Oryctolagus cuniculus: one gene and its partners. The protein of the gene in region 1 interacts with the protein of each later gene in a pairwise test. Links are inferred from orthologs where the notes say so. Each region holds a gene or a part of one and is shown in the gene's direction. Other genes may lie near its edges.

Region 1 (3,642 bases):
TGGAGCTCCTAACGTGACCATTAAACCCCCTGGGCTTACAGATATGGAAGTAACACCTCCAGTAGTTTCTGGTGAGGACCTCAAAAAAGCATCTGTTGTTCCCACACTACAGGATCCGTCATCTTCTAAAGAACCCTCTAGTTCCCTAAACTTACCTCACAACAATGAGCCGTGTTCAGCCCTTGTGCATCCAGAATTGAGTGAGGTCAGTTCTAATGTTGCACCAAGCCTCCCTCCAGTAATGTCAAGACCTGTCAGCTCTTCCTCCATTTCTGCTCCTTTGCCCCCAAATCAAATAACTGTGTTTGTCACTTCCAATCCCATCACAACTTCAGCTAACACATCAGCAGCTCTGCCAACTCACTTGCAGTCTGCTCTGATGTCAACGGTCGTCACGATGCCCAATGTGGGTAGCAAGGTTATGGTTTCTGAGGGACAGTCAGCTGCTCAGTCTAATGCCCGGCCTCAGTTCATTACACCTGTCTTTATCAATTCATCCTCAATAATTCAGGTTATGAAAGGATCACAGCCAAGCACAATTCCTGCAGCCCCTCTGACCACCAACTCTGGTCTGATGCCTCCCTCCGTTGCAGTCGTTGGTCCTTTACACATACCTCAGAACATAAAGTTTTCTTCTGCTCCTATACCGCCTAATGCCCCCTCTAGTAGTCCTGCTCCAAATGTACAGACAGGACGACCACTGGTCCTTAACTCACGAGCCACTCCTGTTCAGCTTCCTTCTCCCCCTTGTACATCTTCTCCAGTTGTCCCTCCTCATCCCCCTGTCCAGCAAGTGAAAGAATTGAATTCAGACGAGGCCAGTCCTCAGGTGAGCACCTCAGCAGATCAGAGCACTCTGTCCTCTTCACAGTCAACCACAATGGTTTCTCCCCTTTTGACCAACAGCCCAGGCTCCTCTGTCAACCGGCGAAGCCCAGTCTCCTCCAGTAAGGGAAAAGGAAAAGTGGACAAAATTGGCCAGATTTTGCTGACCAAGGCATGTAAGAAAGTTACAGGCTCTCTCGAGAAAGGAGAAGAGCAATATGCTGCAGATGGAGAGACTGAAGGCCAAGGGCTAGAGACCCCAGCTCTGGGGCTCGTGGGAACAGAGCAGTTATCTACAGAGCTGGACAGTAAAACCCCAACGCCTCCAGCACCCACTCTGCTAAAAATGACCTCCAGCCCTGTGGGCCCAGGCTCTGCCTCAGCAGGACCCAGCTTACCTGGCGGTGCTCTCCCTACCAGCGTACGCTCGATAGTAACCACTCTAGTACCCTCTGAGCTCATCTCTGCGGCACCAACCACAAAAAGCAATCATGGTGGCATAGCATCTGAGCCACTTGCAGGTGGCCTAGTGGAGGAGAAGGTGGGACCCCATCCAGAACTCCTGCCCAGCATAGGTATGTACTCAGGACGTGGACGGGACGTCATCTCACGCCAGAAGGGTTTGTTTTTTTTTTTTAACCTATCCCACAAAAGCATTACTCCTTTTCTACTTGGTGGAAGAATGGACTTAAATAGATATAGTATTAGTTCTATTTATTGGAAGTACATTGGGAAATATGCTTTCAAATCCCATGGTAAGTTTAGCTTCATTAACATGATTCTGTCTCTGCTCCTTTCACTTATGTGAAAGTTTCTGAGTTTACAAGGAAGCGTCTCTATGTGCATTATCACATCAGCATGCCAACCATAGCAAGTAATCTTGAAGTCATCCTGTGGGTGAGAGGACTGGAGCTCAGATTGAAGTTCAGTATTTGTTCGAAGTCTCTGCTGTGGACCCTCCAATGTCCCCTAAGTATGAAAAGCTGCTTCTGCAGGTTCCCCGACCATAATGAAGGCTTGCTCATGACTGTTTCAGAGCAGGATTTTTGAAACCCCATCCTCATACCTTTAAAAAAAAAAAAAGATTTATTTATTTGAAAGGCAGAGTTATACAGAGAGAAAGTGAGACAGAGATCTTCCATCTGCTGGTTCATCCCCCAAACGGATGCAATGGCCAGGGCTGAACCAGGCCAAAGCCGGGAACCAGGAGCTGCTTCTGGGTCTCCCATGTGGGCTCAGGGGCCCAAGCACAGTAGCAGGGAGCTGGATCAGAAGTGGAGCAGCTGGGGCCAGCTTCATGGCACAGTATATGGCGCAGTGGGTTAATCCTCCACCTGCATACAAGCACTGGTTCTAGTACTGGCTGCCCCTCTTCCAATCCAGCTCTCTGCTATGGCCTGGGAAAGCAATAGAAGATAGCCCAAATGCTTGGGCCGCTGCACCCACATAGGAGACCAGGAAGAAGCTCCTGGCTCCTGGCTTCAGACTGGTGCAGCTCTAGCCGTTGAGGCCATCTGGGGAGTGAACCAACGGAGGGAAGACCTTTCTCTCTGTCTTTCCCTCTCATTGTCTGTAACTCTACCTTTCAAATAAATAAAATAAATCTTTAAAAAAAAAAAAAAAGTGGAGCAGCCAGGATGTGAACCAGCACCAATATGGATGCCAACACTGCAGGCAGCGGCTTAACCCACTATGCCACAATACTGCCCCCTATTCTTATACTCCAAGACCATTCCCTTTCTGGGCTACCCCAAAGGAGAGTGTTCTAGACATTCAAGTTTCATAACAGACCTATGAGGAACAAAGTAGTTAACAGGATAGGTACAGCTGGTGTCACAGTGCCAGCACTTACTGGATGTGTAGGCTTGAGTATGTTGCTGGACTACTCCCAAATTCCAGTTTTCTCCTTTGTTATGTGGGGACAATAGAATTGAATGAAGGAATGCATGTAACTTGCTTAGAGTGGAGCCTAGAACATAGTAACTGTTTGATAAGTGGTTAAAATTAATACCAGTTCCTTTTTGATGCACTGTCTGTAAATCGGTCCATTCCTTTCATAGATACCCAGTTGGGATTATTTCCTATATGCTGTTCAGGTGGGCTGCTGATGACAGGATGGGGCTCCTTGCATCGCCCCTCCTTCCTTTTCTTGCTTCCCCTCCCCACACGTTTGTCCTTTGTTGAGGCTTACGTGCTGCAGAAGCTCTTCCTCCCCAGAGGTGACTCAGCCATACACCAGAGATGGGAAGGATCTTTGTGATACGCTAGGCCAGCTAGTAAGGCTGTCTTATTTATGTATCCAGTATGCTTTGAGTGCCCACTGGTGAGTTTACGTACCCAGGAGGAGACAGGAAGAACAATCTTCAGAATATGATCAGAGTTCAAGTTTTAGCCCTGCTGGTTACCAATTGAAGTTGCTTAAGTTTCTTAACCTGTCTGAAGCCATGTACTTAACATGTCAGTTAAGTGGAGATTATCATTGTTACATCTCATAATTTGTATGCAGATTCAATGAGAGGACTTAACATCAAGTGGCCAGCACCCTGCCCATACAGAGCTCCAGAAAGGTCATTTCCCTTTCTCTCTGCCTCTTTACCTTGCTGTTAGAGGTACAGGAGGGATAGAGGCCTTGAGGGCATTCAATATCTTTCTAGGAGGTAGAGACCTTACAGAGCTAGGGGCTCTGTGTTTCTGCTCCTAGTTCTGTTGATGCAAGTGAATCTTAAGAGTTAAAAAGAAATTTGGTATGAGTTAAATATGTTTGCTGCTACTAAGTGTTTCCATTTCTACTTCCTTTCAGGGAACTTATCCCTCTGG
Region 2 (3,642 bases), on another chromosome or scaffold:
AGTGCTGACGTGCACATTAACATCACATTCACCCTTTGAGTTATGATCACCTGAGAACAGACTTGAATGCGTGCAGATTCAGGCTGCTCCCTCCAGTAGGTAAGGACTTGCTGCACCCTGGGCGTCGTGGTTGCTGATGGGAATGAAATGACAAACAGGCAGAGCCTGTGTCCTCAGAGCACTTTCTGTCCAGCGCTGCTGCCAGTGAGAGGCGGCTGGGTGGTGGCTGAGGGCTGTGGGGCAGTGTGGCGCCTCTGCGCTGCTGCCGATGTGGGGAGCACTCAAGCCCTCCTTACGCTGTGGTGGTAGGGAGGTCGGGAAGCTTCTAGAAGGAAGTTCATGGTGAGGCTGGGATCGAAGGGAGGAATGTGTATCAGTACACGAGACGGGAAGGGAGTGCGGAGCCAGGACCGCGTCCCGAGCAGGAAGTTGAGCCTCCGCAGCAGCGCCCCGTCCAGGAAGCTCAAAGAGGAATTCAGCATCAGGTCGCGTCGGCTGCAAGACGACAGGATCAGATCCTGGAGCCGGGGCTGGCAGGATCGGCTGCTTACGGTGCCCAAGCAGCGGTGGACCTGTAAGCTTTGCTCTACGAGGAGCCGGGTCCCTTCACAGGGCTGGAGAGGGGTGCAGAGCCTGACCCCAACCCCGGGGTCTCCCTGCCCCAGCACCGTGCCGAGGACCCAGGCAGAGGCGGCGCGGCTGCGTGGGGCATGTGGGGCACGTGAGGGCTGGGCAGCGGGGCTTTGCAGCAGCGGCCTGAGCTTACATGTGTTAAACTCCCCCGAGCTGAGGAGCCTCCCGTCCTGATGGTCCCTGTGCGTGCATGTGCTGCAGCCGAGAAACCCCACGTGCTGATTGGAGGTGCCTGGATACATTCACTGCTGTGCCGAGGGCACCGTTGGGCCGGGTGGGCACTCTGGGAGGTCATTTAGTCGGCTGTGTGTGCAGCCAGGCTTCCCTTCTGCTGGCGCTGGCTCGGGAGGAGCCCCCGGGAGAGGGAAGCTATGCTCCGGAGGGCGTGCCCGTGTGGCTGGCAGAGCAGTGCCCGTCAGCACGGCCTCCTGGAGAACGTAGGTGGCTTAGCGGCCGAGCCCAGGACTCGCTTTGCTCAGCGGTGACTTGGGGGCTGTGACTCTTTGTCCAGGTATGTGCCCTCTGGCTGCGGCCGCCCAGGAGGCTGAGAGCAGCCGGAAGCTGACTCACCTGCTGAACGCCGTGACCGACGCTTTGGTCTGGGTGATCGCCAAGAGCGGCATCTCGGCCCAGCAGCAGTCGGTCCGCCTGGCCAACCTCCTGATGCTCCTCTCCCACGTCAGGCATGCCAGGTACGGGCCCAGGGCCATCCCCGGGGACGAGGGGTGGGGCCTGCTTGGAGGAGGGGCGCAGGTTTGGGGGGGTGGGTCAGGTAGAGTTGTCACCTTTTCAGGACAGTGAAACCCTTAAAAGGGGTAGGGGTGGGTCATCAATTCACATGCCTGTCACCAGGGAGCAGCACAGAGTGGGTGTTGGATCCGTGTCCCATGCAGCCTTGCAGGCTCATGTGTGTTTAGGTGCTGGGGCTCAGAGCTTGTCTGGAGTCTTGTGGTGAGTAGTTCTTTCCCTAAAATGAGCCACAGCCCCGTGGCCTGCCCACACCAGCCACGGCTGACACTGAGGTCGTTTCCACAAAGTGGCTAAGTCTGGTTTTCCCATGGTGCCTCGGGCCTGCCCCGGGTTCCTCCTTTCTTCCTGTGGCATCGGGACTTTAAGGCTGAGCAGAAGAGAGAACTGGCACATCCCAGGGCGGGAAACGTGAACGTGGACGCAGCAGGGACACTGGTGCTCGGTGCCCTTGTGGGGAGGAGGGTCACCTCAGGGATTCTCACGGAGGGAGGAAGTGTGGAGGCCTCTCCCCTGCAACCGTTTGCAGCACAGAGCTGGCCGACTGTTAGTGTTTGCAGCTCCCGTGGGAGGGTGCGTCGCAGTGTAGGGAGGAAATGTGAATTATGAAAAAAGCCTGCATTTCAAACTTATTTTTTTAAAAAAATTTTATTTATTTATTTATTTATTTTTTTGACAGGCAGAGTGGACAGTGAGAGAGAGAGACAGAGAGAAAGGTCTTCCTTTGCCGTTGGTTCACCCTCCAATGGCCGCCGCGGCTGGCGCGCTGCCGCCGGCACACTGCGCTGATCTGATGGCAGGAACCAGGTACTTATCCTGGTCTCCCATGGGGTGCAGGGCCCAAGGACTTGGGCCATCCTCCACTGCACTCCCTGGCCACAGCAGAGAGCTGGCCTGGAAGAGGGGCAACCGGGACAGAATCCGGCGCCCCGACCGGGACTAGAACCCGGTGTGCTGGCGCCGCAAGGCGGAGGATTAGCCTAGTGAGCCGCGGCGCCAGCCTCAAACTTATTTTAAAAATATTTATTTTAGTTATTTGAAAGACAGAGTTACAGGGAGAGGTAGAGACAGAGAGATAGAGAGAAGTCTTCCTCTGCTGGTTCACTCCCCAGATGGCTGCAATGGCCGGAGCTGCGCCAGTCTGAAGCCAGGAGCTTCTTCCGGGTCTCCCATGTGGGCCTGCTTTCCCAGGCCACAGCAGAGAGCTGGATCGGAAGTGGAGCAGCCGGGACTCAAACTGGCACCCATACAGGATACCGGCACTTCAGGCCGGGACTTTAATCCACTGTGCCACAGCGCTGGCCCCTCAAACCTCTTCAAACCAAAGTTAACTTACTTTTTATTCCATTTTTCCATGGACTCTTTGACCTACCCTCGCGTTTGCGCGTTCACCTGCTTGCTACAACGCACTCGTGCAGCAGTCCTGAGCAGGCTGACACACAGATCCCCAGCAGAGGCCGCGTGGGCAGGGCCTCTGCCCTTTTGTTTGGGCACTCACGCCGTGAAATGTCCTCTACACGATCTGTTTCGTGCTGTGTTTTCCTATTTTTGTGGATGGCTTTTGTTGTCTAAAATGGTGCCCCAGCCCCATGCTGAAGTACCGTCCGTTTCCTGGTGCATGGAGGCTGTGATGTGCCTCCCGGAGAAACACACCGTAGAGAAGCTTTGTTCAGATTTGAGTGACGGTGCCGTTAGCCGTGCGTTCACTGTTACTTTATCCACATTACATGCCACGCAAGGTGTCTTTAAACAGGAACGCACGTAACAGAAGGTTACGTGTCGACTGGCTGAGGAAGATGTGACTAGAAACCCCGTAGGAGCAGGGGTTCAGTGCTCACTAATCAGTGTTCAGTAATGAGACGCCGTCATCCTGTGTTCCAGGAGCCGTATCCGGCCACGGTGGGTGGGCGGTGGGACACAGAGGTGGACAGGGCGTTGTCCTCGCCCTCGAGTGGTGGACACCGGAGCCTGGAACAGTGGGCTGGGGAAGCGGGAGGGGTCGGGCTGGGGTGGCCTGGCCCTGCGCTGCAGAGCTGGGGACGTCGGCCCTCCCACGGCTGTTGCTGGGGGCTGACGCTCAGTGCCCTTGTGTCCCCGCAGTGACAAGGGCATGGAACACCTGCTCAGCATGAAGTGCAGAAACGTGGTCCCGGTGTACGACCTGCTGCTGGAGATGCTGAACGCCCACACGCTGCGTGGGCACAGGCCCGCGGCCACGGCGCCCGCGCCCGGCCCGGCCGAGGACAGGAAGGGCGCAGAGGG
Region 3 (4,191 bases), on another chromosome or scaffold:
TCTAGGTCCAGGGGGAGGGGTCTTGGTCCAGTTGAGTTCATTGCTACCCGGGTCCTCAGCACCTGGGAGAGCACCTGCCACACAGCAGACCCTCGCCAATGTCGGCTCGGAGCCTCCTTCGGCACAGCCTGCCCTGGGCAGGATCGACGACCCTCCCCGCCGCCCCCCACCCCGACTCGCTCGGGCCCAGGTCGCGTCGCCCCGCGCCCCGCACCCAGGGGTCATTTCTCGGAGGCCTTGTCTGCAAAACCGCAGGCGGCCGCACGGTGGCGGTGTGCACCCGCGTTCCCGCCACGGGTCCCGCCATGCCGGGCGCCGAGGCCGCGGGCAGCTCCCCGACCGGTGCCGCGGGAGAACAAGGGCTGGCTCCCCGCCTGCCCCTGCCCGCGCTCGCCGAGACAAGGCCTCCGGCACACGGCGGATTGGGACCAGATTGAGGCTCCACACACAGCCTCCTACAAGCCCCTGGTACTTTTGCTCCCTTTCCATTGGCTGGACCCCGTCACGTGACCAGCAGGCCGCGTGGGCCGCTGGGGAATGTAGTTCGGCTGTGTGTCGGGCCTCGTGTGTGAACCTCGGTCAGCGTCCATCGCGCGTGGCCCACGAGGCCTGCTGCGAGGTCCGATGGCAGAGCCGGCGCGGCCCGAAGGCTCAGGGATGCCGGGCAGCATCTCCCCGAGCCGCCACGCCCCGGCTGAGGAGCCACGGCCCCCCAGCCCCAGGCTTTCGGAAACGCCTGGTTCGCCCGCACAGCCCGGGCAGAGGAGACGCAGGGGCTCCCCTGCGAGCCGGCCTGGCTCAGGGCAGAGCACCGAGCTCGTCCGCAGCCGGAATCCGGGCGCCGAGCGCCCAGCCCGCCCCGTCCACGCGCCCCGCGGGGAACGTGCCACAGCCAACACTTTACTTTGACCCTTGTGGTCTGGAGAGCCTGGACTTTTACAAACGCTTCCAGCAGCAAAGTTAGGGTTTGCCGCATACGTTTTCCCGGCCCAAGTTCGTATTTCAGCTCATTGAAAACCCCGAAGCTGCCAGCCCACAAACTCCGCAAACGTGCACTGCGTGTTTTCACCAGTCACGGGGAGGGACGCTGCCGCTGCTGGGGGTGTCTGCGGACCCGGCTCTCCGGCCGCAGGACCAAGGATGGGCGCGATAGGCCAACCGCGCGGTCCGGGGCCGGCCACGCCACGCCGGACCGCGGTCCCCCACAACTCCCCGGAACTCTTCTTCCGCACCCCCCAGCGGAGCCACACGGCGGCGCACACTTCCGGCGAGCGCACCACTTCCGTGCGGGGCGGCCGACTCGGCCGGCCCCCAGCGGACCGGAAGTCCGTCACCCTTCGCGCCCCACCCCTTCCGGAAGTGACGCATGGCGGGGTTGCCGGAAGAAGTGGCGAAGTTACTTTTGAGGGGACTCTGGTGGCGGCGGCGTGTCAGGGGCTACGGCCCCGGAGGAAGAGGAGCCGAGTAAGGGGGCGGAGACAGGAGCACTGGGAGTGGGGAGACGCAGGAGGAGCCCCCAGCAGCTCCGACGAACCCCCTTCTCTCTTCCCTCCGCTCCCCTCCGTAGCTTGCGCATCCCCCGGCTGTTTCCAGGGCAACGGGAGGAGACCCCCCCACGCGAGAGGCCGCCCACAAGTCCCCGCGCGCAGCCATGAGCCCCGCCCCCCACTGGTGCTCGGAGAGGGGCGGGACCTGGAGCGAGGTGATGGGGCGGGGCTTGCGGGAGGGGCGGGGGCGGGGCTAGGTGTTGTGGTGGGCGGGGCCTGAGAAAAATCAGAATGAGAGACGGAGTTGGGTTGGGGGGAGGTGTGCTAAGAGCAGGTGGGCTGTGACTGACGGGCAGAGTGAGCCCCAAGGAGAATGGACAGTGATGGGCGAGCAGGTGGGTGGGGCCTGGGGCGGGGCCTGTAAAGGGGGCGGGACTTAAGGCCACACTGCAAGTTGGAGCATGGGTGGGAAGCGTCTGGCGGCCGGCTGGGGCTGGGGTCCCTGTGCAGTAGTCGGAGCCTGGGGGAGCTGGAATAAAGGGGCCCCCTCATCAGAACCCGCAGCTGGCCTGACCCAGTCCTGCGTTGCCCCCCTGTGTTGTGCAGGCTGCTCCGTGACCCCACCATGTCCTCCCCCACCACGACCTCCTTGGACACTGCCCCGCCTGGTGAGTGGCCCTGTGCCTCGCCCAGCCCCGGTCGGAGCAGCCGCACGGCCGGAGGAGCTCACCGCGCCGCGTCTCCCCGTCCCCCAGGAGATGGCCCCGCGCAGCCCGGCACCTCCTCCCCCTCGCCCGCCGTGAAGGAAGAGGGTCCCGAGCCCTGGCCCGAGGCCGCGGACCCTGCTGTGCCAGGCAGCGATGAGGCCGGCTCAGCCTGCGTCGTGGGTGAGACGGGGCCCGGGACGGCTGTGGGCAGCAGGGCAGAGGGAGGCCCTGCCTCGCTTCTTTGGGGCGCACGCGCCGCCCGCTCCTTGCGGCCCCTCACCGCCTTGTCCGCCCGCCCGCCCGCCCAGTCGCCGTGGAGCCGGAGGAGGAGCCGGAGCGCAAGCGGAAGAAGGGCCCGGCGCCGAAGATGCTGGGCCACGAGCTGTGCCGCGTGTGCGGGGACAAGGCCTCGGGCTTCCACTACAACGTGCTCAGCTGCGAGGGCTGCAAGGGCTTCTTCCGGCGCAGCGTGGTCCACGGCGGCGCCGGCCGCTACGCCTGCCGCGGCGGCGGCGCCTGCCAGATGGACGCCTTCATGCGGCGCAAGTGCCAGCTGTGCCGGCTGCGCAAATGCAAGGAGGCCGGGATGCGGGAGCAGTGTGAGTGCGGGTGGGGAGGGTCGGCCAAGCCCCGCCCCGCCCCGCCCACGCCCCCTCGGTCACGCCCCTGCCCCGTCCACATCCCCCGGCCTTCGCTAGTGCGAGGCACCGGGATGCGGGAGCAGTGTGCAGGGTGGGGAGGGCTCGGCCCGACCAGGCCAAGGCCTGGCCACCTCCCCAGACCGGCCACACCCCAACCGCCCTGGCCACGCCCCGATCCCCGGTCGGCCCCGGCCCTCTCATGCCCTGTCCCCGCCTCCGACAGGCCACGCCCCGCTGGCCACGCCCCCAACCCTTGCAAATTCAAGGAGGCCAGGATGCTGGAGTAGTGTGGGGGCGGGGCGCTACCCCATCCCCAACTGTGCCGGCCTTGGCCTTACCCCGAACCTGGCCACACCCCGACCCGCCCAGCCGGTCATCCCCGCCCGGCCACGCCCCCGCCCGGCCACGCCCCCGCCGGCTGAGCGCTGGCTCCGTTCCAGGCGTCCTCTCTGAGGAGCAGATCCGGAAGAAGAAGATTCGGAGGCAGCAGCAGCAGCAGCCGGTGCCTGGGGAGCCGGGGGGCAGCAGCGGCTCGGCCGGCGCGCCGGGGGCGTCCCCCGGGGGTGCGGAAGCCAGCGGCCAGGGCTGCGGCGAAGGCGAGGGCGTCCAGCTCACAGCGGCCCAGGAGCTGATGATCCAGCAGTTGGTGGCCGCCCAGCTGCAGTGCAACAAGCGCTCCTTCTCTGACCAGCCCAAAGTCACGGTACTGCCCGCCCAGCCTCGGGCGGCCGGGCCGGGAGGCGGAGGCCGCGGGCTTGGCCTCGGGGTCAGCGCCGGGGTCCTGGCGTGACCGGTCTCCCGTGTCGCAGCCCTGGCCCCTGGGCGCGGACCCCCAGTCCCGCGACGCCCGGCAGCAGCGCTTCGCCCACTTCACGGAGCTGGCCATCATCTCGGTGCAGGAGATCGTGGACTTCGCCAAGCAGGTGCCCGGCTTCCTGCAGCTGGGCCGCGAGGACCAGATCGCGCTCCTGAAGGCGTCCACCATCGAGGTAACAGCCAGTGCCAGGCCCGAGCCCCGGGCAGCGCCGCACAGGGGCCGGGAGTCCGGGGCAGCACCCGCACAGGGCCCGGGAGCCCGGGGCAGCGCCCGCGCAGGGCCCGGGAGCCCGGGGCAGCACCCGCAGAGGGGCCGGGAGCCCGGGGCAGCACCCGCAGAGGGGCTGGGAGTCCGGGACAGCACCCGCACAGGGCCCGGGAGCCCGGGGCAGCGCCGCACAGGAGCCGGGAGTCCAGGGCAGCACCCGCACAGGGGCTGGGAGTCCAGGGTAGCACCCACACAGGGACCGGGAGCCCTGGGGCTGCGCCCGCACAGGAGCCGGGAGTCCAGGGCAGCACCCGCACAGGGGCTGGGAGTCC

What was found.
Region 2: the proteins of NCOA6 (region 1) and ESR2 interact in a two-hybrid assay, tested with the Homo sapiens proteins (3 studies listed by BioGRID). The link is inferred for Oryctolagus cuniculus from reciprocal best matches to the Homo sapiens genes NCOA6 and ESR2.
Region 3: the proteins of NCOA6 (region 1) and NR1H2 interact in a two-hybrid assay, tested with the Homo sapiens proteins (2 studies listed by BioGRID). The link is inferred for Oryctolagus cuniculus from reciprocal best matches to the Homo sapiens genes NCOA6 and NR1H2.

What each region holds. Positions count from the first base shown.
Region 1 is NC_091442.1:23,361,763-23,365,404, forward strand, and holds part of NCOA6 (nuclear receptor coactivator 6), read left to right. Parts: coding exon 1-1,400; intron 1,401-3,642. UniProt on the Homo sapiens protein: Nuclear receptor coactivator that directly binds nuclear receptors and stimulates the transcriptional activities in a hormone-dependent fashion. Coactivates expression in an agonist- and AF2-dependent manner.
Region 2 is NC_091451.1:6,217,649-6,221,290, forward strand, and holds part of ESR2 (estrogen receptor beta), read left to right. Parts: intron 1-1,144; coding exon 1,145-1,325; intron 1,326-3,480; coding exon 3,481-3,642.
Region 3 is NC_091449.1:7,476,821-7,481,011, reverse strand, and holds the start of NR1H2 (oxysterols receptor LXR-beta), read left to right. Parts: upstream 1-1,309; 5' UTR 1,310-1,464; intron 1,465-1,567; 5' UTR 1,568-1,702; intron 1,703-2,093; 5' UTR 2,094-2,112; coding exon 2,113-2,155; intron 2,156-2,242; coding exon 2,243-2,374; intron 2,375-2,502; coding exon 2,503-2,793; intron 2,794-3,275; coding exon 3,276-3,538; intron 3,539-3,644; coding exon 3,645-3,824; intron 3,825-4,191. UniProt on the Homo sapiens protein: Nuclear receptor that exhibits a ligand-dependent transcriptional activation activity. Binds preferentially to double-stranded oligonucleotide direct repeats having the consensus half-site sequence 5'-AGGTCA-3' and 4-nt spacing (DR-4).